4 linked regions of the Arabidopsis thaliana genome follow. The protein of the gene in region 1 interacts with the protein of each later gene in a pairwise test. Each region holds a gene or a part of one and is shown on either strand. Other genes may lie near its edges. The genes, in order: HHP1, NAP5, PIP1C and AT3G45700.

What was found.
Region 2: the proteins of HHP1 (region 1) and NAP5 interact in a protein complementation assay, tested with the Arabidopsis thaliana proteins (one large-scale study listed by BioGRID).
Region 3: the proteins of HHP1 (region 1) and PIP1C interact in a protein complementation assay, tested with the Arabidopsis thaliana proteins (one large-scale study listed by BioGRID).
Region 4: the proteins of HHP1 (region 1) and AT3G45700 interact in a protein complementation assay, tested with the Arabidopsis thaliana proteins (one large-scale study listed by BioGRID).

Annotation. Positions count from the first base shown.
Region 1 is NC_003076.8:6,836,958-6,844,889, reverse strand, and holds HHP1 (heptahelical transmembrane protein1), read left to right. Parts: upstream 1-1,943; 5' UTR 1,944-2,233; coding exon 2,234-2,535; intron 2,536-2,616; coding exon 2,617-2,692; intron 2,693-3,244; coding exon 3,245-3,865; 3' UTR 3,866-4,057; downstream 4,058-7,932. Other genes in the region: AT5G20260 (Exostosin family protein), read left to right, coding at 5,334-5,564, 5,652-5,803, 6,990-7,344, 7,422-7,932. UniProt on the Arabidopsis thaliana protein: May act as a negative regulator of abscisic acid (ABA)-mediated osmotic stress signaling and function in cross-talk between cold and osmotic signaling.
Region 2 is NC_003070.9:26,881,570-26,888,440, forward strand, and holds NAP5 (non-intrinsic ABC protein 5), read right to left. Parts: upstream 3,601-6,871; coding exon 3,370-3,600; intron 3,274-3,369; coding exon 3,187-3,273; intron 3,102-3,186; coding exon 2,445-3,101; downstream 1-2,444. Other genes in the region: AT1G71320 (F-box family protein), read left to right, coding at 916-1,225, 1,268-1,504, 1,618-2,249; GDPD4 (PLC-like phosphodiesterases superfamily protein), read right to left, coding at 3,987-4,155, 4,235-4,362, 4,436-4,525, 4,772-4,864, 4,966-5,046, 5,137-5,197, 5,302-5,399, 5,486-5,752.
Region 3 is NC_003070.9:223,954-231,296, forward strand, and holds PIP1C (plasma membrane intrinsic protein 1C), read right to left. Parts: upstream 3,591-7,343; 5' UTR 3,224-3,590; coding exon 2,896-3,223; intron 2,739-2,895; coding exon 2,443-2,738; intron 2,359-2,442; coding exon 2,218-2,358; intron 2,129-2,217; coding exon 2,033-2,128; 3' UTR 1,712-2,032; downstream 1-1,711. Other genes in the region: GPAT4 (glycerol-3-phosphate acyltransferase 4), read right to left, coding at 1-302; AT1G01630 (Sec14p-like phosphatidylinositol transfer family protein), read left to right, coding at 5,253-5,390, 5,476-5,771, 5,876-5,981, 6,396-6,506, 6,606-6,722; AT1G01640 (BTB/POZ domain-containing protein), read right to left, coding at 7,211-7,343. UniProt on the Arabidopsis thaliana protein: Water channel required to facilitate the transport of water across cell membrane. Its function is impaired by Hg(2+).
Region 4 is NC_003074.8:16,775,879-16,784,091, forward strand, and holds AT3G45700 (Major facilitator superfamily protein), read left to right. Parts: upstream 1-2,834; 5' UTR 2,835-2,886; coding exon 2,887-2,968; intron 2,969-3,050; coding exon 3,051-3,268; intron 3,269-3,770; coding exon 3,771-4,312; intron 4,313-4,385; coding exon 4,386-5,190; 3' UTR 5,191-5,390; downstream 5,391-8,213. Other genes in the region: AT3G45690 (Major facilitator superfamily protein), read left to right, coding at 390-477, 570-787, 860-1,398, 1,472-1,925, 2,021-2,272; AT3G45710 (Major facilitator superfamily protein), read left to right, coding at 6,841-6,937, 7,011-7,228, 7,304-7,845, 7,914-8,213. UniProt on the Arabidopsis thaliana protein: Transporter involved in a passive nitrate efflux.

The sequences.
Region 1 (7,932 bases):
GTCGTACATAAGCTGCCGGAAATACCTAACTCTTCATATGGTTGTCTCTTTGACACCTACCGGATTTTACTTCATTTATGCAAAGTATTGTAATAATAAAAAGAAAAAGAGGATATTCCCGGTATTTTAATTAACAGAACAACATTCATATAAATAAAACCATTCCTTTTGATTTTAATTAGGCCTAGGCGACAAAATATATAATTAAGGCTAAATAGATTGCAAACACATGGCAGTTATATCCAAAAGTAAAGATTACAAAAGATGTCGAGAAGATAAAGTCATTTTCTTCTTCAACCATATTTAACAAAATCTTAAGTTATGAATTAGTAATAAACTATTTTCCCAAGAAACTTAAACACACGTATATGGAGTTTGCGTATATGATTGCGATTCCTTGGGGGTGTTTCAGGAGTGACCTCTTTGGTTAATGTTTTCCCAAAAAGCCTAAGCCAACCCAAATCTTGAAAGACCAGAAAGCTACAACTATGGCCATTTTATCAGCTTTAATTTTAGATAACAAAACTGAATTTTGTAAGAGAAAAAATAAAGGTATGGCTATGGGACGCCGAGATGTTAATTACTATCTACATAATAACAACATATTTTTTTTTTTGAATTTAGTGTTAAATTATATTCAAAGAAAAATAAACTGTTTATATACAGAAATGCAAACTTTTCTTAAAAATAGATCAAAAGTATATCTTATTTATCTTTGATTTTGTTCTTGCCTAAAAGTAAACCACACTTGGATTCCTCTTGCGTACTTCTCTTCACATCTTACCCTCAACGTGCTTAATCCATTCCTTATGTTTTTGTCTATCAGCCTGATTATCTTCTTCGTCCTCGATGGCGTCTGTCCATATCTCCTCTCATTTCTTTCTCTCCATATAGAATGTATCGTGTTTTGAAACACATACCGAAGTACAAACCTTGTAGTGGCGTCAAGATCTTTACTCACTAACTCCTTCATAATAACAGCATAATAACATGTATTACATGAATGCATGTCACAAACGTTTATAATTCCCTTTTTTTTTGCCAACAAAACGTTTATAATTCCTTGTATGAAGATATTTTCGTCTAATTTTTAACATCCTTTTTTAGTTGATTTCCAAATAAATTATAAATTTGTTCTAAAGTTTAGTCATCTGCCTAATTAATTAACTTGAAGTTCTATATTGCTAGAGGCATTTAAAGGTCAAGTCCTTTTCAAGTGGTAACTCATTGAAAATGACACTAATGTTTTTTGCAACATTTCACAAGAAAAAAATAGAAATTTTCATGATTTTGGCTTTTGTGGTCTACTCTTTTAAAAAAAGGAATCCTTGAAATGTTTGCATGCTTGTTTTTAGTATCATTATTTTTGTTGTCATCCACTTGATGGAAAGAGCTTTGACACTTCTTTACCACAATCACTTCATAACTCATAACTACATTAAATTCTGTTGTTATCCTAACTTCTTCTGTTAAAAAAATTACTTAGAATTACACATAAGAACTCAAAAATGCAAATTTTCTAAAATTACTCGTCTATTTCAAGTAAAGTAAACCCCTCACCAATCTTAATTTCACACAGAATTTAATGTTGATTGAAGCATAGTAAAAGTCTAAATGAGTCCTTATTTTTTATTTTTACATCAAGAGTACTATTTTGTTTGCATCACATATCTTATATCTTTCTTATAAATACAAACGATCCGGTGGGTACAAGGCATCAATCATGTAAAAGAGGTACAAGCCGGTAGTGAATTTTGAGTCGGTCGGTCTTAAAATCGCCTAAATTTACTCTTCTCGTATTCAAAAGATTTTCCATATCTCAAAAAGTAGTGTAAAACTGAATCACTTTTCTTGTTAAAAAAAAATACAATAAAAACAAACGTAAGAGAAAGGGAAATGAAATAATAATAATCAAAAAAGAAGAATTTATTGATAACCTAACTAACAACTAAAAGATGAAAACACGACACCAACTTCTACCTGCATACTAAAGTTTCGTCTTTAAATGTTGCAGCTGTCTCCTTACATTTCACATCTTCCTTGTTTCTTCTCTCTCTCTCTCTCCCCTCAAACTTAAATTCACATTTTAATACTTGTTACTTCAACTATAATAATAATAATAATCTTTCTTCATTATATATTTTCCTCTCCTCTCAGATCTTCTCTCTCACCATCTTCTCTTGAGATCAAGATTGAGTATTCTTGTCTCAAGAATCGATACTCGAGAGCTCTTATGGACCAAAATGGTCATAACGACGAAGCAGAAACAGTTTCATGCGGCAACGGCAACTGCAAAAGCAAGATCGTGCCTGGAGATGATCACGGTGGAGATGAGAGTAGTGGTACCAAGAGAAGGAAGAAGAGAAAAACGCAACAAAAGACAATGAAACGACGTGAATTAATGTCGTATTGTGAGCTACCGGAGTACATGAAAGACAACGAATACATATTGAATTATTACAGAGCTGATTGGTCCATTAGAGATGCTTTCTTCAGCGTATTTAGTTTCCACAATGAGTCCCTCAATGTTTGGACGTAAGTACACCAAATTTTACTTCTAGTTTCAATTATTTTTTCTTCGATTTTTTTTTCTAATAGTTTTTTTTTTTTGGACAGACATTTGATTGGTTTTATCTTCTTTGTGGCACTAACCGTCGCCAATATTATTCATCACGACGGATTCTTCCCCGTGGTAAGTGTCCTTTAATCAACACGTTTATTTTTGTTTTTGTTTAATAATCGCAAGTTTAGCCCGAATTTCAATTTATTCCCTCGAGATCCACATGCAACCACTATATTAACTTCAAATTAGTCAAGTGAATGTGTCAAGTAATTAGATATATACCTAATTGGTTTTGATTAACTTATCTTAATTTTCTAATGAATTGTTCGTTGCTATACCTGGATTTTGTTATGATGATTTTGAATAAGATATCAAAGATATATAGACATGAATCGAAATGATGAATAAAATCTTTGACAATATTACATTGACTATAATTTGTTTTCTGTAGTATATTCTAAACAACTCAATAAAATGTAATTCTTTTAAGGATTATATATCAGCTCAAATCTATTATTTAATCACATATCTAAACAACTGAAGAAAATGTATTTCTTAACTAGATTAGAAATCAACTCAAATATGTTATTTGATCATATATCTAGTATATGTTTTTTTAGTATCTCAAACTAGTCAATAAAAATGTAAAGCTAATGGTGGTATCAATGTTGATGATTGTAGGATGCAAAGAGTCCAGGGAATGTAACAAGATGGCCCTTCTTCGTTTTCTTAGGAGGCTCAATGTTCTGCCTACTCGCAAGCAGCATTTGTCACCTCTTCTGTTGCCACTCAAAAGAGCTTAATGTCTTCCTTCTCCGAATAGACTATGCCGGTATCACCGCCATGATCATCACTTCCTTCTTCCCACCAATCTTCTACATCTTCCAGTGCACTCCTCGGTGGTACTTCATCTACCTCGCAGGCATCACATCCATGGGAATCTTCACAATCATCACACTTTTCACCCCATCACTTTCCGCTCCCAAGTACCGAGCTTTCCGCGCTTTGCTCTTTGCCTCCATGGGGCTGTTTGGGATTGTCCCAGCTGCCCACGCGCTAGTGGTCAATTGGGGAAACCCGCAAAGGAACGTGACGCTCGTGTACGAGTTGCTTATGGCAGTGTTCTATCTTGTTGGAACAGGATTCTACGTAGGGAGAGTGCCAGAAAGGCTTAAACCGGGATGGTTTGATCGTGTGGGACATAGTCATCAGATCTTCCATGTGTTCGTTTTGTTGGGTGCTTTGTCTCACTATGCAGCTGCTCTCTTGTTCTTGGACTGGCGTGACCACGTTGGTTGTTAAACCATATATTTGTAATTCTTTTAAATATAATATTATTAATTTGTTGTATCGTGGTGAACAAAATTGTAATAACCCATTTGTTTTAAATTGAATTGTAATTCAACTTGTGTTAATTGTTATGTTTGTTGAATATGCATGATTTTCAGAAGTCTTTTTCTCTATGAGAAGTTAATGGTAAATCAAATATTTGCCACTGAATAGTTTCGTTTTTGAATATGATGACTTCAATTGTTTGTTTGCTTTATATCATGAAAGCAAACAGAATTGAAAAGACATAAAAAAAAATTGATGTAAACACAAAAGCAAAAATTGACGGTTGAAACAACCAATGATTTGTTTTATAAAAAAAAAAAAAAACCAATGATGCAAAGGATGGACTTCATGCATGGTTGATGGTTCTTTCATCTATCTACATGCGCACTTAGCTTAGTGTCAGGATTCCCTAACCACAAGAGAATTAATATGTATATATGCACCATCAAATGTTCATCAAAGTCTCCGCTTCCTTTTTCATTCTTCATAGCCGAGTCCTCTTATTATTGCTTCAAAGTTTTTTTGTTCTTTTTGATTTGATATAAATATATGTGTTACTAGGTTATACAGGTGTTAATTAGATGCAAGACAAGGATTGATCAGACATAAACATAATTAAAGACCAAGCTTCACTCTGTAACTAGACTCTTGATCGATAATGCGTGAACGGACCCAAACTCTTTTCGAATTTCGGAAGCCAAATGTCTTGGTCTTGCCGTGAGACTTGGTGTATATTTTCATATATCTTTTTTTTTTTTTCCTTTTGATGTATGAAACTTTTTTTATGTGTGGTTAATGAGTAAAACAAAGAATCGAACACCATCACCATTAGTTTAAGGTTGATGTGTGAAACATAGCGTACGTGAAACAGTTCTTCTAATTAACCCAATTTGATGTTATTGTTAAATTATCTTCAAGAGTGACAAATATACGACCAAACATGTCAGCTAAAGCTTTATAATGCCGGTTATGCTTAACCACCCCAAATTTGATTTGCCTGCCTCAGACCGGTTATAGCAGTACGGGAAGAACCGGTTTGATAATGGGTATAAAAGTTTTTCGTTTTTCTTCTTGCAACCAAACCCAAAATTGACCCTAAAATTAAGCATGCCATGATAGCTAGCTAGTAACGATCGACGGTGCCAAACCCCGAACGATATGAAGATTTACTTCTGATTCGGTAAACATTTTTATAAAGCAATAAATACAAAATTAATGTTATTTGCTTCTCAATTACTCTATTAGTCTTCCGTTTCCTTCCCTAATAGGATTTATTTTGGTCCATTTCTGCTTTAATTTTTTACCTTTCTAGTGATTTTATTTGGTAGACTTTTAGCTGGTTTGGATTCTCTACTATAATAGACTCTTATATTCCTCTACTACATAAGTATATACCCTAAATGTGTCACTGCCCAAGAAACTAGAGAAAAAAAATATGGAACAATCAAATTTTGTTAATATGAAACTCTCTCTAGTTCCAACTCTTCTTCTTCTTCTTGTTCTTCTCGTCTTTTATCAACATCACTCTTCTCCAAACCTAAACTCGAACGCTCTCTCTTCTTTCGTCGACGCTACGTCCCTCGCCCCATCTCCTTCACCGTCCCTGTCTATGGAGTTTAGTGTCGCCTCATCAAACCTTTCAACAATTTCGAGTCCTCCTGAAAATGTATGTTTTTATTAATTTACGTGATTTTGTTCATTTATGCTATAGATTTGTTTTGACTTTTGAATATATATAATTTGTTGTAATAAGAAAGGAAATAAGAGGAACATAATTGAGGAAGGTTTAGCAAAATCAAGATCCGCCATACGTGAAGCCGTGAGGTTGAAGAAGTTTGTATCGGACAAAGAAGAAACCTTTGTTCCTCGAGGAGCCGTTTACAGAAACGCTTTTGCATTTCATCAGTAAGTTTCTGTTTCCTTTTTTTCTTCGTTTCTCCTTTTTTTTTTGTCTTTCAAATTTTCATTTAAAGTTACTTTCCATACTAGGAAATAAATGTAATACTAAGATTTTATTGGGGGAAAAAAACTAGTCAATATGAAAATTATTAAGTATACAACTACATTTTATGCTAATGATATGACAATTTTCATTTAAGTTACCCATAATTTTCTCCCCAGATCATTTGGATTTCAAAGAAGAGAAATTCAAAATTTACCTCAAAAGTGTAACCGACATTCGACAATGATTTTTAAGCAAAATACATTTATTGTTTACATGAATAAATTATTTTCGAAATCCTTTTTATTCCCTTCATTTGGAGTATGTATAAATTCGGTTTTCTTGAATTATTTACTCGTTTGCTATGGGAAACGAAGCGATTGAGTATAATTCTAATCCTTCCTCGTTCCTTAGTTCTCTGCGTCTCGTTAAACTCAAGATTGAACTATTTAAGTATTCATTTTCACTTTGTTATATGGTTTATATTATAACTATTTAAGTGTCCATGCTCTTATACTTGTTTTTACTTCAATACATTGTATTGCTTATATTACACACAACCAAGCGTGTGTATAGTAAATACCAAAATAAATCTTTCTCCCAAATCTTAAAGCAAATTGTACCTCTCTTAAAGAATTGCGTAAACTTTATAATATTCAGAAAAGTATGTAAATTTTTTATATAGTCAACGTGTCTTAATTAAGGGACTATACTATATATGCACAATGGTATGCGGGTAGAGAAACGTAGCGCCTACTTAAAGCCCTGCTTTGGTAATTGTAGTCACAGCTCTATGTTATCTTCACATTACAACCTTAGTTTAGTTATTAGAGTAAAAAAAAAAAAAAAAATGTTTAGTTGTATTGTACTACTTTTTATTGACTTCAAAATCATCATTTCTTTGCTTGTTGCAAAATTGAATTGCTGCTCCCAGTTATTTTATTAAAAGAGAATTAAATTACTCTAAATACATAGTAAGAAATTACCTAACCGTATTCAAAAACTGTCTTGTGAGTTGTGATTAGTCTATCACAAATTCGTAGACAAACTTTAAATAAACAAAAATTGTAGCTAGGAACAAATGTACTTCACTGTGTTTATGAATTATGATCGAGTAGTAACAACACTTTTTCTTATGAAATTGAGCAGAAGCCATATAGAGATGGAGAAGAAATTCAAAGTGTGGGTGTACAGAGAAGGAGAGACACCGTTAGTTCACATGGGTCCAATGAACAACATATACAGCATTGAAGGCCAATTCATGGACGAGATCGAGACAGGGATGAGCCCGTTCGCGGCTAACAACCCCGAAGAGGCTCATGCCTTTCTCCTCCCTGTCAGCGTCGCCAACATCGTTCATTACCTATACCGGCCGCTCGTGACCTACTCGAGGGAACAACTTCACAAAGTTTTTCTTGACTACGTCGATGTTGTGGCTCACAAGTATCCTTATTGGAACAGAAGCCTTGGAGCCGACCATTTCTACGTTTCTTGCCATGATTGGGTTTGTTTTCTTTCTGGAACCAGACTTATTTTTGTGATGTTGCTACTGAAATGTAACATTTTTAAAGACTCTTGCAGGCACCAGACGTCTCAGGATCGAACCCGGAGCTGATGAAAAACCTGATAAGAGTTCTCTGCAACGCCAACACATCAGAAGGTTTCATGCCCCAACGAGACGTCTCAATCCCGGAGATCAACATCCCCGGAGGCCACCTGGGACCACCTCGGTTATCGCGCTCTTCGGGCCATGACCGACCCATCCTTGCTTTCTTCGCAGGGGGTTCACACGGTTATATCCGCAGAATTCTATTGCAGCATTGGAAAGACAAAGATGAGGAGGTCCAAGTCCACGAGTACTTAGCCAAAAACAAAGACTACTTCAAGCTCATGGCTACGGCAAGGTTCTGTCTCTGTCCTAGTGGCTACGAAGTGGCTAGCCCTCGAGTCGTTGCAGCCATTAACTTAGGTTGCGTCCCTGTCATCATCTCTGATCACTACGCCTTGCCTTTCTCAGACGTTCTTGATTGGACTAAGTTCACCATTCATGTTCCTTCTAAGAAGATCCCTGAGATCAAAACCATACTAAAGA
Region 2 (6,871 bases), on another chromosome or scaffold:
TAGGGAAGGATTTCAAAACGGTACGTAGTCGGTTTAGTTAGGGAGCGGTAAATTGGTCAGACCGGACCAATGGTTTTATTACATTGATTTGGTTAAATGTAAATTTAATTCCTAGGTTCTTTCAAAACGCTGCGTATTGATGTCACCCTTCTCTCCTGAAGCCTCTCCATCTCCTCTCTATCCCTCGGTCTGCAGAAGAAAAAAAGCTCGGCAATTTCACATTATCAATATGTTATTAGATCAATGTTACAATCATTTTACAGTATTCAAATTGTAAGATTTATTGTAAGATTTTCATTTCTATATTTTAAATTATTGTAAGATTATATTATATATATTTATAGCCTATTATACATATTTATTATTTCTAATTCATAATTGTAAACTAAATTATTAGTGTTAAATCTTTTTTAGAGTGTTAAGACTTTAGAGTGTTGCATTGTTGAAGGTGATTAATTGTTAAAGAATGGATGATACATGCATCGTTATATACCACGGTCTATTGCACATCGGACATGTTCTAATCTAGTTAATTAGGATTAAAAAAGTAGATACCAAACCTTTTTCAAGAATTTGTAGATGAAATTTTAAAATCTATCAAAGAATTAATTCTAAGGGATTAATTGCTAAAGAAAATTAAATGAAAGCATATTTAATCATAAATTGTCTTAATTTATTTTCATTATTTTTAGGAATAATATAAACATATATTAATCAACATTTATTATTTATAGCATAAACAAATACATGTTTATTTATTTGCTCTTTATTATTCTAATATAAATTAATAGTGTTATATATTTTTCGCCACAGTTAATGTTAAATCTAAAGTTAAAAATCCAACATTAGATCATTATTTTCTTTATATATAGAGATACACAAATCTACTCCAAGAATCATCATCGTAGGAAAAGAATGGAGAATGATAAACATAATAATCCCAAGACAATATTTATACCAGATGATATAGCTGAAGGGATCTTTCACCATCTTCCAATAAAATCACTGGCTAGATTCAAAGTCTTATCAAAAAAATGGACATCGATGATCGAATCAACCTACTTTTCCCACAAACGACTCATTCGTACAGGCTTACCAACCCCTAATATGAAATTTCTTCATATTAGTCAACACTTTACAGCGAATTTTGTTGAAGAATATTCAAACTCAATAACTTTTCTTTTGGAGACTTTTTCTAGAGATGATCAAAACAACAGAAAAACTTGTCTTTCTTCTTCTAGTTACTACACTTTTTCTGGTGATCCAGTCGACGAATCTCAAAATAAAACTATTCAAGTATTGGGGTCTTGTGATGGATTGGTCTTGCTTCGGATCCATGACGATTTCAGGTCCATTTACTTGATCAATCCGACGACTAAAGAACACATGAAACTTTCTCCCGAATTTATGCAATGGCCATTTACTCTTAGTTACTTAACCCCCGCAATGGCCAATAAACCATGGAGACAACTTTCTCAATCAGTATTGGATTATGACATATCTGGTTTGTCAACTTTCTTGTTCTATGGTTGATTATAGAGTTGAATTTTAACTTTCACATAGTAATATGTTATATACCTATTTATCAAAAAAAAATTTTTCGTCAAGGTGGATTAGTGAAGAGAATGCCGTCTCTTGCTGGATTTGGCAAAGATATTGTTAAAAAATCTTATAAGGTGGTTTTGATATATACAAGATATGAAATACATGATCATGAGTTCAAGGCCAAGGTCCTATCCCTTGATAATGGTGAGCAAAGAGACGTAGGGTTTTATGACATACATCATTGTATCTTCTGCGATGAGCAAACATCAGTCTACGCCAACGGATCCCTCTTTTGGTTGACATTAAAGAAGCTTAGTCAAACATCTTACCAGCTATTAGCTATCGATCTTCACACTGAAGAATTTCGATGGATATTATTACCAGAGTGTGACACCAAATATGCTACTAATATAGAAATGTGGAATCTGAATGAACGTTTGTGCCTATCGGATGTGCTAGAAAGTTCAAATTTGGTCGTTTGGAGTTTACACCAAGAATATCCTACCGAAAAATGGGAGAAAATATATTCTATTAAGATTGACGTTATAAGAACCAACCAATTACATGAAAAGTTTTGGATGCTTGGTCTAGCGGCTGCCTATTTTTCAAATATCAGAAATCGTCAAGATCAAGTTTCTTTTTTTAGACAAAGAACGATTTCGTATTTGCCAACAATGATTTCTCCTTCAAATTTGATGCTTTGATGTTGTTAATTATACTTTCAATTTTTAACAATATTATATGTAAGTTAAAAAGAATATTTTTAAAAAAAAGATGTTTAGATATTTATTTATTTTAAGTATATTGTAATTTCTTTATTTGACATTATGGATTATTTTTATGTTTTATTTTCTCTTGTTTTCTTTCTTTCTGTCAATATAATACATATTTGGATATAGTTATGATGAATATATACAAGTTTTTGAACAAGTTTTTGCAATTTTAAAAGACATTGGAGAACGGAAAATGCAGTGATGCATTTTATGAAACAGTTCAGTAGCAGTCTTGTAACCAGCCGTGACAAGAAGCGTGGCTCTAACAAGAATGCAGAGGGAACTTCCAAATGCCAAAGCAACATACACAACCATTAACGTAGAAAGTTTCACAGGAGCTTGCACATCCTCAGAAATAGGAGTAGCCCAAGCCATCCAGTAGTTACTTCCAATCTGTAGAAGCTGAAAGAGAATTTGCCCCAACAATATGAAAGGCACAAGAGCTCCTCCGTATGCCAGTGTGATATATTTCCAGTATACATCCAAAGCGACGCTACCTTTCGCCCTCTCTTCCTCTTGAACAAATTGTCTTTGGGGCTCCCCAGAATCTAATTTATCGTTCTTCAGATCTTGACTTTCTTGTTTCCCGTCGAAACCAATATCATCTCTCACAACACCATTTTCTTCGTCTAAAGCTGAGTTTTCAGAAACAGAACTGGCATCAGCCGACCCAACTACTGCCAGAGACTCTTGATGCGCACCTATAAGCTCCCTGAAATCTGTTCCAGAGATGAGGATATCATTATATTTTCCAGCTTGGCTGATTCTCCCATCTTTCATGACCTGAGGCATAAGAAAATCGGTTATGGATGATTTCATATTCTCAGTGCTGTAGAAAATGATAAAAGACAGTGAACTATTCACATACCAGTGTAAGATCAGCAGAAGGTAAGAACTCAACTTGATGGGTTACATATATAACCGATTTAGAACATAAAAGCCCTCGTAGAGCTTCCTGAAAAAAGTATGAGAATGAAAATAAATTTGATACATGATTGTTTACGGAAGGAGAAATCACAATCACACTAATGGCTAAGTAAGAAGATTGTACCTTAAAGAGATGTGACCCTGTGTGTGCATCGACAGCACTAAAAGGATCATCAAACAGATAGATGTCCGCATCTTGGTAGAGAGCGCGTGCAATATGTATTCTTTGCTTTTGTCCACCACTCAAATTGATGCCGCGTTCTCCAATGACGGTCTGATCACCGAATGAAAGTATCTCCAGATCTTTACTCAAAGAACATGCTTCAATCACCTTATCATATCGTTCTCTATCCATATTATATAAACAGACTTAATATCAGTCATCTGATTATTTAAACTTAAATACAAGTGTATTAGACCTTGTTCTAGGAGCAGGCTCATATCGTTATGTATAAAAGAAGATATCTGTGTGAGATTGTTTTCACTGTGCAGTCCGAAAAGTGTTGCCTCAGAGTCTCCTGGATCAGATTATCAGTAGCTGTATCGATAGAAGCAATGGCTTCATCAAGAACCGGCCATACTTTGCTTTTCTTGAGAAAGACTCGTCTTACTGTGTATCAAGGCGTCGTAGTGTGTAGTTGTCAAAAACTTGTGGATCAGCAAAACAACATAAAGAAAGATCTTTGCCAAAAACTTCTGAGTTGGTATTACAGTCATTAAGAATGCTCGAAAAAGAAATTCTCACGTCCGTATTGAAAAACCTTCTTCAAGACACTCAGTTCTAAGATCTTCCATGAGACCCTGAAACATAGATGGATCGCTCGTCACAACAGCATCCACACCTAAGTGAAGCATCCTTTTCATGGGATCAGCATCATCCACAGTCCATGCATACACCTCTTTGTTTCTCCTGTTGATCAGATCGAGCAAGGTTGTAAACACATGAGCAGGTGTGTTTTTATTTGAAAACATTGAAATCGATTGCTTACCGACGGACAACTCTAACTAATTCTTCATCGATCAAGGGATGATAAACTCCCACAACCCTAGCTCCCTTCATTCTCAGCAGGCTGTTTCTCGCCCCAGTCAAAGGATCTACCATCACAATGTATCCCACCTGCCAAAATCACTAGGAAATGAGCAAGAAACTTCTCTATCTGATCCTCACAAGACAATCCATTTCTGTTTACCATAGTATCTGGTGCTCGTCTAATTATGTCCCTAGCCAAAGTGTCGCTTTTGGCCCATACGATGCAATTATTGCACTGCGCTCTCTCAATCTAACAACAGAGGATTGGCGATTCATGTGAGCAAAGCCAGAAATACCACCATTGAAACATCAACAATTTATCCATACTCTTGTTTTTTCAAGTATCTATAGTAAGCTGTTCTAGCTTTGTGTACAAAGATACCAGGAAATAAATGATTAAGCAACGCTATTAAGGAATCAAAACATGTTTATAAATCTCGAGCACATTGTACTAAAGCTTTACAAGTACAAGAGCTAACAAAAACATAGTACTTACAATAGAAAGGATGTCTTGTGCTAACCCCTTTTCATACATTGGCGGTCCAACTTTGGCATCAAGGATCACTTTCCGGACTGAATTCGATATCAACTAGATGATTCAAGATCAAAACTAGCTTCAGCCACTTGTTACTAAGCAGAAATTACAAAGCAAAGCAATGACAAGATAGTAATTAAAAAAACAGGCATTACCGCTAAAGCCTCTTCAAGAGTAGGAATCCTACTACTTCCCAAGGTTCCTTTAACAATCTCCGAGACATCGAGTTCCTTGATCTGCAAAAAGATCATCAAAAGGTTTATGAAAAATGGATGCAAAAAAGCATATCCCAAAAGCTGGTAAAGAGAGAGAGGGAGAGATGAGACCTGTTTCATACTCAGATCTCCAACTTGAACAGAAGAGTTACGAGCAATACGCTGCAGATCCCTGACTGTGCGTGTGATCAGAAGATGAATAAGAAGAACACCGATGAGAATCCAAACACAGAAACATTAGAAGAAGATGATACAACAAGGATCAGAGTCTGTAACCTGTTGTGAAGAGCGAATAAAACACCATCGGAGGAACGAGAAACATCGACTTCAATGCAATCAACTCGAGAACGTATAGCGAAACTGTAAGCGTCCATCTACGATTGAGAAGAGTCCAAGAGATTAAGGTTTAAAAAGGTTAGTAGCAAGAGTGTGAAGAAGAAGAGATCGAGAGTGTACGTACAGTGTTTGGGAAAGCGAGGGTGGAATCGCCGCCGTGAGCACAGACAAGTGGAGGATGGTGAAGCCAATCGCACTTTTGCGCGACAATCTGACGAATTCGTCGGAGCTTGAAATGGAAGTAGAGAGGAGGGAAGATAGCTAAGAAAATCACAGCGAAGAGAATCGTTCTCTTGAAATTTCTCGAATACAATGGGCTGAAGAAACGACGGCGACGAGTTCCTCCGCCGTCGAATGGCCGTCTTCTGTGCCGCCATTCAAAAATCGCCATTAGCTGAACAAGACAAAGGTTGTTTTTGGAGCTAAAGACGACGTTTACTGCAATCTTGGAAAAAAAAGAAGTTCACCAATCACCATCAAACTATATATTTTTTTTTTTTTGTCACAACTGTTTTATTATTTATATTACAAAGCCTTTTAACAAGCCATATTTTACAAAGCCATATAACAGGCCATAAACGGACAAAAGCCCAAAGACCACCTTCTGAAGAAGAGAAAGCTAATGTGCTAATAAGTCAAAGCCCACATGGCACTAGAGACACGGTAAAGAGGACACGTGGAAACAGAAAATGATGAGTTGCAGAATGTCGCAGGTGGAGAATCATAACCACAAAAAACTTAAGTTCACCGGAATTGCTGTAAACGCCAAATCGGAAGCAGCTACAAATCCGATGAGACAATTGACAAATCTTCTGTGACAATGACTGTAAAATTTAAAACCTTCAAGAAAGAAATAGCTCACAAACTATCGACTTCGACTTCTGCCATTTAAAGGAAAAACAACATAAACCCAAACGATTCAACAAGCATCGGCAACAAGAAAGACAAACAACAGCTCTAATTTCATCAAAATCAAACAAAAGACACTAAATTAAACTTCAATCCGTAACTAAAAATTTGATCTTTTAAAATGAAAACTCAATAAGCTTGAAGAACAAATTAAGCCCCTTAAAGAAGGGAGGATCGAAAAATTACAAATTTAGATCGAAATGAAGAGAAAGAGAAATCAAAACCAATTAAAACCGAAGCAAAATAGAATCGAACAAGGTTGAAAGGCAAAAACTAAATTTGAAGAACGAAGCCGACCAACGGTGCTAAAGAAACCACCGATGTCGGAGAAAAGCTAGCCGACGTTGCTAAAGGAGCTAACGACGCCAGAAGGAAGCCAACCAACACCACTAAAAAAGCTGGCTATTGTCGGAGCCAAGTTTGAGCATCAGAAACTTCCTCTCTCTAAAAGATCTAGAGAGAGAAGAGAGAGAAAGTCCTTTTATTTTCTCAACTGCACAAAAGAGAGAAAGTCCATCAAACTATAAATTATTTTCTTTAATTTTTTTGTTATATTAAAAAAAAAACTAATAACAAAACAATTTTATTCTCATTTGTTCCA
Region 3 (7,343 bases), on another chromosome or scaffold:
ACGGCGCGAGAGACGAGTTCGATGTTCTTGATCTTGATACCGGCGAAGGAGATGAAGATAAGGATTTGGATTCCGAGAGATTCGGAGACGAAGAGATAAGCGATGATGACGATGGGAAGAGAAAGAAGAAGGATCAATCCACGGAAGAGACTACCTGCTTCAATGGCCACCAGCATGAAGTAAGGGAAAGAGCTTCTTGACAGAAGCAGAGTCCCGTCGAGATCCGCAGCGATCGAATCATACTCTCTGCTTTTACACTCGCTTATCGGAGGAAAACTTCGGCTCTTCTTCGCCGGAGACATCTTTCTTGCGGCGAATACTGGCGATTTAGTAAACAGAGAAAGAGAGATAAAGAGAGATTTGGAAAGAAAGAGAGGGAAGGTCCTTGGGGTTTTAAATGCGCCTTCCAGTGGTTGTTTATCGCTCAACTGACTAAATAACTTTTCAGTCCAATTAATATTAACTATTTACGAAATTATCCTTAAACTTTCAATCTTTACAAAATTAACCCTTCTTATTTCTTTATCTCCATGAGAAATTAAATGTTCACATCACATGATTCGTAACAAAGGTTTCAATTGACACTTATTTTTTTCTAATATATTTAAGTTAATATGAGTGATTATTTGATTAGGGTATTTATTAGATGATGGAATTTGGTGTATACATAAATATAATTTTGGTCACACGCGGTTCAGTTACTTTCTTTTTGTTGATTGACATGAAAGAAAGTAGTTTAGTAGTTCACCTAAATGGAAGGCTGTATAATTAATTGGGTGAGTTATTATAAATTTATAATATGTGGGTTGGCATTGTGTGTATATACTATATAGTATCCAACTATACGTGAAACATTAAAGTCGACGGCCGCCTGACCAAGTTAATTATATGAAAATGACTTTTATATATTGGTAGCATTTAATTTTGATTGCAATATTTACGTATCAAGGAGCCGTCGACAGAGTTATAATGCTAATTGAGTTAATTGACTTTATACTAGGTTTAAATAATTAACTCCTTAATTTATAATAATTAAGGGATTAAGACGGTTTTCTTTTTCTTTGTCCGCGTATCATGGATGGTCACTCAAATGTCAATGGTATATTAATAAAACGGTAAAATAGTTGGGAGTTGGAGAGCCATTGAGCCATATGCATTCATACTTACGGATATGAGTGTAACAGTATTCCCCTAGTATGAGTATAATAACTACTTACACGCTATGGAAATTGAAACTGCATCACGTGAACCTTAGCTTACAAAGAAAAGTGACTTATGCGTGTATACATATATGTGTGTTTGAGATAAATTACCAAAATATGCATGCAATTATGTACAATGAAAATTATGAAATAGAATTTATTTCCAAGAAGATAACAAACTTATCATAAACATTCACTTTGAAGATATGAAACTGAAAAGTAAAAACTAAAAAAAAAAAAAGGTGTGAAGCAGTGGGTAGGTAATCCACTTTGACGAGGTTATTGTAGAATAAGTAAGAATGTTTTATCTCAACTTGGTTGGCTATCTATCGCAACAAATTAAGGTGGAGTGATGCCGTTGATGGACATATTATGGGATACTAGTTGTATCCATAAAGAGTGCGAAAAAGGCCCAATGTAAATGGGCTTAATACCCACTTGGTTAACGTGGCCCATAAAGAGTGCGCAAGAGGCCCAATGTAAATATGGGCTAAATACCACGTAAACTAGTTGAGTCGATGACCCGAGAAACCAAGCCGAAACAATATGGATCTTACTCAATTTGTACCGAACCAAACCAGAAGAAAATCAAATTAACAAATTCCTCTTGAAAATTTCTCGAGTCTAACGACAAAAGCAAAATTAAAATCGTACCAAATCAATCATAATATCAAACTCCATTTAACGATAAAACCAGATCATCCACAGCAAATAAGAAAAAGACAAGTCCATTAATTAAAATAAACACATGATCCAGATCTCTCAAATATTTTCAAGCTCAATTACAAACCAAGATGCAACAATGAAGTTTTATAAAGAAAGAAATCAAATCAGGATCTGGACTTGAATGGAATGGCTCTGATGACAAGTTGGTGGTAAAGAGCCGCAAGAGCTGCTCCAATGAATGGTCCGACCCAGAATATCCACTGCAAACCACAATCAAACCACAATCAAACCAAAGTGACAAAGACATATAGAAAGACAAATCAACCAAATGATGTAATGGGGTACTCACGTGGTCGTCCCAAGCGTGGTCCTTGTTGTAGATGATTGCAGCTCCAAGACTCCTAGCTGGGTTAATTCCTGTTCCGGTGATTGGAATCGTCGCCAAGTGAACCAAGAACACAGCGAATCCGATTGGGAGTGGTGCCAAAATCTGCAAAAAAAATAACCCTAAATTATGAATCTTTTTCTAAACACCCAAAACAATAAATTAAGAGGAATCAAAACAAAATTATACCGGAACGTGGGAGTCACGAGCGCTTCTCTTGGCGTCAGTGGCGGAGAAGACCGTGTAGACAAGGACGAAGGTTCCGATTATCTCAGCACCCAAACCAGAGCCCTTAGTGTAGCCGTGAGCGACTGTGTTGGCTCCTCCGCCGAGAGTTTGGTAAGGATTTGGCTGGAAGCCTTTGACAACTCCGGCGCCGCAGATGGCTCCGAGACATTGCATCACGATGTAAAAGACAGCTCTCGTCAATGACAGCTTACGAGCCAAGAACAGACCAAATGTCACCGCTGGGTTTATGTGCCCACCTGTGAAACACACACACACACACACTCATCAGAATCAACTCTAAATTAAGATCTCTTTGAGAAAAATCGAAAACTAAAAGCAGAGCTACAAGGGTTTGAAGCATGCAACAAAAGACCAATTCTACTTGTATTAAGAAGATAAAAAAAATGGGGTTACCAGAGATTCCAGCAGTACAGTAGACAAGGGCAAAGATCATGCCACCGAAAGCCCAAGCAATGCCTTGGATTCCAACAGAGGCACACATGTTTGGTGCTCTCTTCACTCCCATCACTGTCAATACTGTTATGTATAGAAACAGGAAGGTGGCTATGAACTCGGCGATTCCGGCTCTGTAGAAGGACCACGAACTCAGCTCGCCTGGCTCGAAAAATGGAGCTGGTGGTGGCTCCTTGTAGTCTTTGTCCGTCTGAGCCGATGTACCTATCGGTTGCCTCTCCGGGAACTTGTTAGCTCCCACTCGAACATCCTCTTCTTTCCCTTCCATCTCTATCTAGAAAACGTTCAAGTGTTCTTTGCTTTTTTTCTTCTTTTCTACAATGGGTAATGAGAGTGGCTGAGATAGAGAAAGAATGGTTTTATAGAGGCGAGAGAGAGAGAGAATAGAAAAAGCAAAAAAAACTAACGTCTCGAAACTATTATGATATATTTAAATAATGAGAAATACAGGGAATCATGGATAACGATGATCTTCGTAAAAGCATATTTATTTACGTTAATAATTGTAATAGCCTACTACTTGATGATGTTTAATCATGTAACACAACCCACGCTTATACTAATTCTGTTGCGTTGGCTAACTATTAGTATTATATTCTGAAACTCCTTATAAAGATAGCATGTTTGACCTAATTTATTCTCAAATGCCTTGCTACAGGAGTACTACTCAGTCAGCAGTTAGAAATGTAAAAAAAAATATTACAGTGCCAGAAAACTCACAAAGGACTAACTTTTTGACTAGTCGACGAATTAATAATTTACTTCCGACCGTTGGAGAAGAAAAGGAAAAGAAGTGTGTGGAAAGCGATTGCTTTATGTAAAGTAACATAGTCTCGAACATTGTGCCGGGCCTAGAGTATTTTTAAAATGTTTAATTAAATTACTATGTGTACTACTAGTGACAAAATAATCACAATGATTGTGAATTTGAGGTTTTTCAATTAAACGATATATATTTTAGAAAAAAAGAAAATGAAAATTGGAGATAAGGTTCAATTTTGCGGGGGTTTCCAGCTCAGAAATGGATTTTGCTTTTCTGTGATCACATGTTCGTTTCCCTATTCCCACTTTCCTTTTTCTATCAATCTATTCAAACCTAACAAAAATAAAATTCAAAACTCTGTTGTTGTTATCAATTCACATATTTTTAACGCTATATGAGCCATACTTTACTAGTTAAATGGAGTTTAGTGTTTAGGATTCAAACCCTATTAGTTTTGTTGATGTTGTCTTACCCGAACAATAATTGAATTTATAAACAGATTAACTCTATTGTAGATATCGATTTTTAAAAAACTGAAAAGGGAAACAAATAATCCGAAGCTAAACTATATGATTAAGAAACACCTTTTATTGAACTAGTGGTGGGGTTTGCCATTTTTCGAAACGCAACCCACACACACACATCACAGTCGTCTAGCTGCCCAACCAACAGAATCACGACACGTGGTTGAAGAGGCAAATATGTGTTGGTGGTGTTTACTGGGGCGGTCCCGACCAAAGTCCGTATATGACATCCTTTCTCAGTTGTACAAATCACATTTCATTATAATTCATTTCATCGAATTATCTATCTTTTAAATTTTATCAATATCTTTTTTTGTTAGAGGCGTGGACCGTATGAATGTATGATAGTATAGAAATAGAAATAATAACGTTGGCATTGTTATTTAACAAGCAAACAAATGATTAGGTTGATTGATGAACAAGCAATGACTAGGTTGATGAATTTTAATTGTTACTGACTTTGTCTGTGTACGTAGCTGGTACTTAGTTGGTACATGCCTATCAAAAGAAAAACTAATATTTTGCAACGAAGCAGATCCTTCATTGCTTACATACATGTGGAAAAAGATACGATCAATATTTTAAAAAATCGTGAATTGAATTTTGTTTTATACACACAGACGACAGACAAGCTTCTGACGTGGGCTCAAAACACTAAAACGGCCTCTGAATCAGTCAACACTTTGAGGCATGAGAGATTGATTAAACCACAGACCAAGTCTTTACGACAAATCAACTCGAGCCCAATAGGCTCTAATAAGGCCCAATACGATATAATCGTCTTCTTCCTGTAGAGTCGGGGACCTGGGATTAGTCAATAAATGAGTAGAATTTTTGTAAGGAAGAGAGTAGTTGGTGAGCGTCGCCATTGAAGGGGAAAGCAGCCCAACTTTGCATTGAATGACACTTAAAATCTTTCTCTCAGCAGCTGTCTTCATTTATGATCGATCCTACTTCTTTCTTCTCTCTACCAATTTCAAGATCTGGTCGTCGCTCACAGGAGAAACGTAATGGAAAACAAAGAGACCAAGCAAGAACCAGCAGCAGCAGCTGAGCAAAAGACCGTTCCGTTGATCGAAGATGAGATCGAGAGGAGCAAAGTCGGGATCATGAGAGCTCTCTGCGACCGACAAGATCCTGAAACTAAGGTCCCTATCGATTTCTTTAAGTAAAAAAAGAATTCAACCAGAAAAGTATTGATTTGATAAAAGCCCTAATGATTTGGATTTGCAGGAGGTGGATGATCTGATGATAAGGAGGTTTCTGAGAGCGCGTGACCTGGACATTGAAAAGGCTTCAACGATGTTTCTAAATTACCTGACTTGGAAGAGAAGCATGCTCCCAAAGGGGCACATACCAGAAGCAGAGATTGCAAATGATCTATCGCATAACAAGATGTGTATGCAAGGTCATGACAAGATGGGTCGACCTATCGCTGTTGCCATTGGGAACAGACATAACCCTTCCAAAGGCAACCCTGACGAGTTCAAGCGTTTTGTTGTCTACACGCTCGAGAAGATTTGTGCTAGGTGAATAATAATAATATTACTACATACATTAAGTTAGTGTGGGTATATAAGAAACCATTTATGCTAATGCTCTTTTTTTGTTTGTTTGAATGTTGTCATGTTAGAATGCCGAGAGGTCAAGAGAAATTCGTAGCAATTGGAGATCTGCAAGGCTGGGGATATTCTAATTGTGACATCCGTGGCTACCTTGCTGCTCTTTCCACTTTGCAGGTTACTTCCTTTAATTCGCCTATCATATCTTTTGAAACAAACATTTAGGTTTTTAGCAATTATCACTAATAAAGGAAAATATTGCTAATAATCCACTTAACTCCAAATATAGAGAATTCAGTTTGACTTCCAACTAAGAAACCTTTTGTTCGTCAGTACTATTTACTATGTTTTAAAAGGTGTTTTTGTTATTTTGGAGTAGGTGATCAGGTTAAAGGTCTTTTTGTTATTTTGGTCCTTTTGGCCACACTTGGCTTCTTTTTTTTTGTTTCTCTTTGTTTATGGATTTTTTTTGAAAAGGAACTTTCATGATTGTAATCCTATTTTTAGCAAAATATTGCGTTAGTAATATTGTTCATGGTCGTGAGTCCTGACAGTGAGTAACCCCCACATTAAGAAAACCTTGTTTTACAGGATTGTTACCCAGAGAGATTAGGGAAACTCTATATAGTTCATGCCCCCTACATTTTCATGACCGCATGGAAGGTCATTTATCCTTTTATCGACGCCAACACCAAGAAAAAGGTACATTGATTTGCTCTGCTTCACAATCACTTTATTAGTATGTTTTAAGACTGTGTTGGAAAATTTGATTGTTAATTTCGTGTTTTTTTGGGGGGGCAGATTGTTTTCGTGGAGAACAAGAAACTCACTCCAACGCTGCTTGAAGACATAGACGAAAGCCAACTTCCCGACATCTACGGAGGCAAATTGCCACTTGTTCCTATTCAGGAGACCTGATTATAGGTCTTACTACGGCCCACCTCTATTTCCAAATTATTACTTACTAGTATTATTTTTTATTTGAATAAAATGAAAAACATATTGAGTGTCGCCAAATGCCAACAATTATATATTTACTGTCAAAGAAGCTAAAAGATATAATATTGAAAACACCTTTAAATTTCATGTAATTTTTCATAATTATCTATCTACTGTGATCTAGCCATAATACTTCGGCAACTATACAATTTCAGTCTAGCTTGCTGTTGCTCTTCCCTGCAAATCTAACACACAACTTGTTCCAACTAGAATTCTAAACCAAAACAACAAAATAATATAAAAGAGGTTTAATTTATGAAGGGTACATTGAAAAAAAGAAAACACCTTGAATTGATAATCCATAAAACAAGTCTTTACTAATATTTTCACTCTTATTAGAAAGAAAAGAAGAAACCATCAAATCCCCTTTGGCAAGTGAGATCGATCCACTTACACAAGCTGTTTGTTCACCAGATGCGTGGGCGAGTATTACCATTTAGAGGAGCTCCATGATCTTTGGCTTTGGCTTTGGTCTCTCTCAGATAAGCCCGAGTGATCTCCACGCTTAGATCCGGGTTCCTCTGCACAAACGTCTCATAT
Region 4 (8,213 bases), on another chromosome or scaffold:
AATTAAATTCAATTTAAATGAATTTTATACACATTAAATAGTTGGACACATGTTAATAAGTTAATCTTTTATTTGCTCTCACATAATAAGATGTCAAATCCTTAAAGAACTCCCTTCATCTTTTATATAATGGGCAGATTTGGACAGATTTCTCAGTTATGGAACTTTAATTGTGTAATTAAGAGAGATCCTTGTTTAATAAATGAGAGTGCCAAGTAGTTCAAAAAGGTAAGAGAAAAACTAAACTTTTAAACATATAATTATAACAACATTTAGTGTAAATCTTAATAACAAGTTTACCAAACAAGATCATTAACAAATCATTGCACAACATAATTATTCCGTACTTGCTTATATTTAGTGTTCCTCTGCTTCATCTGTTCTCTGTCATGGCTCGTTCAGTCGACACAGAAGCAATGACCACTCGCGATCCAAGCAGCAAGCGCGGTGGCTGGAAAACGTTTCCATTCATGATCGGTTAGTGTATTTTATGACTGTTTTGGTTTATGTTTTTGAGCACACAACATAGACAACTGATAGTGATTATTGTAAGGCTCTATATGGTGCAGCTACATTGTTAGGACTTTCCATAGCTTCATTCGGATGGGTGATGAACTTGGTCGTCTTCCTAATTAAAGAATTCAACATCAAGAGCATCGCTGCTACGCAGAATTCTAATATTGTTAATGGATGTGTGAGCATGTTGCCTGTTGTTGCAGCCATTCTAGCTGATTCTTTTTTCGGAAACATTCCCGTCATCTCCGTCTCTGCCTTCATTTCTTTGCTTGTAAGTCTGAGACTTAAATATTCTATTGTCTTGTGTGACTCACAAAGCTTACTAGTTGTTAAACGTTTCCAGGGCATCATTCTATTGACCATGATTACATCTTTGGACCACTTGAGACCTCCACCGTGTGAAACAGGGTCAATTCTATGCGAATCGCCATCAAAACTCCAGCTCGGGATCTTGTATATAGCCTTAGCTCTAGTGATCATTGGATCAGCTGGTACGCGGTTTACCTTAGCATCCGCGGGTGCAAACCAATATGAGAAACCTAAAGAACAAGGAAGCTTTTTCAACTGGTACTTCCTCACACTCTACACTGGAGCTATTACTGGTGCAACAGCAATTGTATATACACAGGAAAATGCTAGCTGGAAACTTGGGTTCGGTCTTTGCGCCGTCGCTAATTTGATCAGTTTCATAGTTTTCGTCTCTGGCAAGAGATACTACAAGCATGACAAACCAATGGGAAGTCCCTTCACAAATCTGATCCGCGTTGTAGTCGCTGCTACAAGAAAAAGGAAAGCTGTGATTTCATCTAGAGAAGAAGACTATCACCATGGGCTTGGAAGAGAAGGCAAGACATCTTCTGCAATGCCCTCCAAGAGCTTTAGGTGAAAAAACAAAAAAAACTTGCTTCATTCATCAAACTTAAAACAGAACTTAAAAGAGCTTTTACATGTGCAGGTTCTTTAACCGTGCAGCATTGAAAACCGAAGATGACTCAGTTAATAACAACTGGAGGCTATGTTCTGTTCAAGAAGTAGAAGATTTTAAAGCCGTTTTCCGAGTTCTCCCTCTGTTACTAGCCATCATCTTCGTTAGTACTCCCATGGTGACGCAAACAAGCTTGATTATATTACAAGCTCTAGTCACAGACCGCGGTCTCGGGCCTCACTTCAAAATCCCGGCCGGGTCCCTCCAAGTCATAGTAATCATCACTGCATGTATTGTTATCTTAATGAACAATTGCCTTGTCTATCCCATGTACCAGAAGCTAGCCCATAAGCCATTGACACCGCTTCAAAAAGTCGGTATAGGCCACGTTTTCATCATTTTAAGCATGGCGATATCCGCCATTGTGGAAGCAAAGAGGCTGAAAACAGTTACTAATGGCCATTCCATGTCAGTGCTATGGCTGGTTCCTCCCCTTGTGATAGTAGGAATAGGAGAAACGTTCCAATTTCCGGCGAATATTGAATTATTCTATAGAGAATTCCCCGAGTCTCTGAGTAGCACCGCGACTTCATTGCCTCAGTGGTGATTGGAATATCTTTCTACCTGAGCACAGCTCTGATCACTCTGATCCAGAAGACCACCAAGTGGTTACCAAATGATATTAACCATGGAAGAGTTGACAATGTTTACTGGCTTTTAGTCATTGTAGGAGTCTTGAACTATTTCCTTGTCTGCGCTTGGTTTTACAGATATAGAAACCTGAATGATGATGATGATCAGGAACAAGATCCAAAAGACGATACAACCTAAGACACAACGTGTTCTGTTCTTGTGGTTTTTGTTGTTTTGATCATCTTGAAAGACCCTTTTTTATGACAATAATCAGACAACAAAAACTCTTTCAACAACTACATAACCACTCTCACTATCTTGCTTAATTCTAACAGAGTTTGAAATGTGAGAAACGTGGTTTGGTTTTTTTTTTTGTTGGAGAAAAAGGAAATCATTTCTGTATTTCCTGATTCATAATTAATAATTTTAAGGTCTTATCATACAAAAGTGACTCAATGATTGGTCGAGAGTATATTAAATTTTAATAAAATTTATTTAAAGTTCTTGAATCTTTGTCTATTTATACTTTTCTTATGCTTGTGGAGTGGTTTACTGCTACTGAAGATAAGGCAAGATATGGGCGATTGCTTTTTAGTTGTTTATTACATTCACCAACCTGATATTGGCAAACGACACTAGGAGATGAACTGTCAGAATCTGATATGAAATTTTTGCCACCAAAAAAGATCACTACCAACATATAATAATTGATATGGATTTGCTTATATATATAGGTTACGGTTGTTATCTAAACTGCATTATAACACTCAAACACAAGTCAAAGTACCTCCTGCTTCCACTTGTTCTCTGCCATGGCTAATTCAGACTCTGGTGACAAAGAAGCGCATCGCTCTAGCAAGCATGGTGGCTGGATCACTTTACCGTTCATGCTCGGTTTGTGTTTTTGACTCTTTTGTTTATGTGAACTCAAAACATAAACAGATGTTGATGATTGTAAAGTTTTTATGTGGTGCAGTTACATTGTTAGGCATGTCGATAACTTATTTTGGATGGGTAATGAACTTGATCGTCTTCTTGATCGAGGAATTCAACATCAAGAGCATCGCAGCTGTTCAGATTTCAAATATTGTCAATGGAGTTGTCAACATGTTGCCTGTTGTCGCAGCCATCCTAGCCGATTCCTTTTTTGGGAACATTCCTGTCATCTCAGCCTCCGCTTTCATTTCTCTAACTGTAAGTTTTAACACTCACCAATTCTTTTATGTGTTATGAGTGTTTTAAAAACGGTATCGGCAGTTACTAGGCAACCGTTTTGACCGCCTAAAATTACACAGACCTAGTTTAAGGCGCTCAGACAATGCCTAAACAACTGTTTCGACCGCCTAAAATGTATATACGCCTAGTTTTAGTGCATTTTCTAATTTTCAAGTAGGTTTTATCTCTATATACATAGTTACAATCGTTCATATATTGTTTTGATGTACATTAAAGAAATGTTTTGTCTATACTTTGTTTACGATATTCTATTTTTATTTTTCTAATATGTATTTTATATAATGTTTTAAGTATAAGCTCATATTTCTAATGTTTTATGTAATAAATGTCTAAACTGGCTAAACTGCCTAAGGTTATCCGACTAAGCGTTTTAGGTGCTAGACACTAGGTCACCGCATGCCTAATGCTTTCTTAAACAACTTCTGATATAAAAGCTTACCTGTTTTGAAACATTTTTCAGGGAATATCGCTCTTGACTCTTATTGCATCTTTGGACTATTTGAGACCTAGACCGTGTGAAACGGGATCAATTTTATGCCAATCACCATCAAAACTACAACTTGGGATCTTGTATGCAGCCTTAGCTCTAGTGATCACTGGAACAGCTGGGACGCGGTTCATCTTGGCATCCGCAGGTGCAAACCAATATAAGAAACCTAAAGAACAAGGAAGGTTCTTCAACTGGTACTTTTTCACACTATATGGTGGAGCGATTACTGGCACGACAGCAATTGTATATGCACAGGACAATGCTAGCTGGAAGCTTGGATTCGGTCTCTGCGTCGCTGCTAACTTGATCAGTTTCATCATTTTCGTCGCTGGGAAGAGACTCTACGAGCATGACCAACCTTTGGGAAGTCCTTATACAAGTCTAGTTCGCGTTTTAGTCGCTGCTACAATGAAACGAAAGGCTGTGATTTCATACAAAGACGAAGACTATCATCACCGCGAGCTCGAAAAAGAGACCAAGACTTATGTTGCAATGCCCTCCAAGAGCTTCAGGTGAAAACAAAAAGCTTTCCTGATTCATGGAACTTAAAAAGAGAGCTAATAAAGAGGGATTTTTATTATGCAGGTTCTTGAACCGTGCAGCATTGAAGACAGAAGGAGACTCAAATAATAACATGTGGAGGCTATGCTCTGTTCAGGAAGTAGAAGATTTCAAAGCCGTTCTCCGACTTGTCCCTCTCTGGACATCTGTCATGTTCCTCAGCGCTCCCCTAGCGGTGCAAATGAGCATGACTGTCCTCCAAGCTATGGTCATGGACCGTAAACTTGGCCCACACTTCAAAGTCTCTGCTGGGTCTATGCAAGTCATAGCACTCGTCTCTGGATGCGTCTTTATCATACTTAACAACTGGACTACCTATCCCATGTATCAGAAGCTAATCCGCAAACCGCTGACACCGCTACAAAAAGTCGGGATCGGCCACGTTTTGACAATCTTAAGCATGGCGATATCAGCCGTTGTTGAAGCAAAGAGGCTGAAAACAGTTGAAAATAGCCATCTCATGTCAGTGCTATGGCTGGTTCCTGCTCTCGTGATTAATGGAATAGGTGAGGCCTTTCATTTTCCAGCAAATATTGCAATATTCTATGGAGAATTCCCTGAGTCTCTAAGGAACACAGCGACTTCATTGACCTCGGTGGTGATGGGAATCTCTTTCTATCTGAGCACAGCTCTTATCGATGTGATCCAGAGGACCACCAAGTGGTTACCAAATGACATAAACCACGGAAGGGTTGACAATGTTTACTTGGTATTAGTCATTATAGGAGTCTCTAATTTCGGCTACTTCCTTGTCTGCTCTTGGTTTTACAAATACAGAAACCTCAAGAATGATGATCATGAACAAGATCTTAAAGATGTTACAAACTAGGACACTAACGTGTTCTGTCCTCGTTTTCTCTATATTGTAGTTGTGTCTTCATGCAACTAACTTATGTGCTACATGCAAACTCACTGTTTGCCGTTTGTGTTTACTTTTACCAATAAATGTTATTTGTATCAAACTCATACCTCAAATTATTAGTATCCTAGCTCCAATGGACCGATTAGAGCTCATGAGCTGTTAGCTAGCTTTTTTAAGGATTCTTCACCTCCTTTATATTAACCAAAAAAAACATGCAATGTCAATTCCTACTTAAATTACATAATAAACTAAAGCTATAATTATAATCCAAACCGATATATAATCTCGTTTAATTACAAAATCTAAACCCTAATTCTTCTTTGTAAACCCAAACCGCCATTTAAACTCATCTAATCGTAAAAAAACTAAATCCTAATCGTAATTTCTAAACCTAAACCGACATTTAACCTCGTTTAATTGTAAAATCTAAATCTGTTTATAAACCTAAACCAATATTTAACCCGTTTAATCATAAAACTAAACCCTAATCGTACTTTCTAAACCCAAACCTTTTGAAATAAACTCAAACCGACATTTAACCTCGTTTAACCCTAGGGGTGAACCCAAGTATTTTTCATCATTAATCAACATAACTAAAAGGGCCAAGAGATAATTAGTATTGTACTTAATCTTAATCATCTAACATAGATATTCCACATTGGTTGTGTGAACAAAATCTAACAACATATATACACCAACATACGGCAAATGGTTTGTCCCGTCGAGGACATCTGATAAGATTGGAACGATACAAAGAAGATCTGCAAGGATCACACTCACAAATCAAGAAATGGTCCAAATTGTTTTGCTCTTTTTTGTTTCTAGAAAAAGAAAGTGTGTCATTTACAATCTTGAAAGATTCAAGCAAAATCAATTAATACAAACGATGGTTTGGAGAAAACTTAACACCATAAATCACTTTGAATTTTGTATGTCTTATAAGAAAGATGTAAGATTTGGCTTGAGAATATATAAACAATATAATTAGAGATATCTTGGGAAGCAAGGCGTTTATCTTGCGAACCAAATATAGGGTACTATGAAATGAAGCCCGTGAAACCCGAGAGAAGAAAATCTTAATATATGACAGCGTTGGTAGCATGGTCTCGTGATTTGTTGTTTGACATGAATATTTGGCTTCAGAAGATTTGACTTTTGGGAACGAAAACAGAGTTTCAAACGTGAGAATGGTGCTTAGATTTTTTTTAAAACATTTTTTGGGCAATAAGAAAAATATTTATGCATCTGCTGATACAAACGATTTTGACACAATATTCGATCGTGCGTTTTTTATTTCTTTATTAACATTATTCAAAGTTTCTTTTTAGAATATTTTTCTGATGATTATGAATACTACGTACTATTGAAGATTTGGTCAAATAATTTTATTGTTTTCTATAACTGTCACCAACGGTAGATGGACTGTCAGAATCTGATTAGGTCTTTTTGGGACCAAACAAGATTAGTACCAAATCACTGCACCTACATAATAATTGTTATGGATTTGCTTATATATATAGTTTCAAGTCTTTTATCTAACTCCATTATAACACACAAACACAAGTCAACTTTGCATTATAACTCCATTTGCCCTCCTGGTTCATCTTGTTCTCTACCATGGCTGATTCAAAATCTGGTGACACGGAAGTAGCGCATCGCTCTAGCGATCCAAGCGAAAAGCGTGGTGGCTGGATCACTTTACCGTTCATGCTAGGTTTGTTTTTTGTTTTTTTTTGAAACCAAAACATATATAGATGTTGATACTGGTGAGGTTTTATGTTGTGCAGTTACATTATTAGGCATGTCCATAACTTCTTTCGGATGGGGAATGAACTTGATCGTCTTCTTGATCGAGGAATTCCACATCAAGAACATCGCTGCTGCTCAGATTTCAAATGTTGTCAATGGAGTTGTCAACATGTTACCTGTTGTTGCAGCCATCCTAGCTGATTCCTTTTTTGGGAACATTCCCGTCATCTCCACCTCCACTTTCATTTCTCTGGCTGTAAGTTAAACACTCACTAATTCTATTCTATGTTCTGATATACAAAGCTTACCAGCTTTAAAACCATTTTTTCAGGGAACCTCTCTCTTGACCTTAATCACATCTTTGAACTACTTGATGCCTAGACCGTGTGAAACGGGGTCAATTCTATGCCAGTCGCCATCAAAACTACAGCTTGGGATCTTGTATGTAGCCTTAGCTCTAGTGATCATTGGATCAGCTGGGACGCGGTTCACCTTGGCAGCCGCGGGTGCGAACCAATATAAGAAGCCTAAAGAACAAGGAAGATTCTTCAACTGGTTCTTCCTTGCACTGTATATTGGAGCTATTACTGGCACGACAGCGATTGTATATACACAAGACAATGCTAGCTGGAAACTTGGGTTCGGTCTATGTGCCGTTGCTAACTTGATCAGTTTCATCGTTTTCATCGCCGGGGTTAGATTCTACAAGCATGACAAACCCTTGGGAAGTCCTTATACAAGCCTGATCCGTGTTTTAGTTGCTGCTACAATGAAAAGAAAGGCAGTGATTTCATCAAAAGACGAAGACTATCATCAATATGGTCTCGGGAAAGAGGCCAAGACTTATACTACAATGCCCTCCAAGAGCTTTAGGTTAAGACCAAAACCTTGCTTGATTCATGAAAGTTTAACCAGAACTAAAAAGAGCTTTACATTTTCAGGTTCTTGAACCGTGCAGCATTAAAGAACAAAGAAGATTTAAACACGAGTGGTGACTCAAGTAATAACATGTGGAGGCTATGCTCTGTTCAGGAAGTAGAAGACTTCAAAGCCATTCTCCGACTTGTACCTCTCTGGGCAGCCGTCATGTTCCTCAGCACTCCCGTGGCAGTACAAATGAGCATGACGGTTCTCCAAGCTTTGGTCATGGACCGCAAACTTAGCCCGCACTTCGAAGTCTCTGCCGGGTCTCTACAAGTCATAGTACTCGTCTTTGGTTGTGTCTTTATCATGCTCAACAA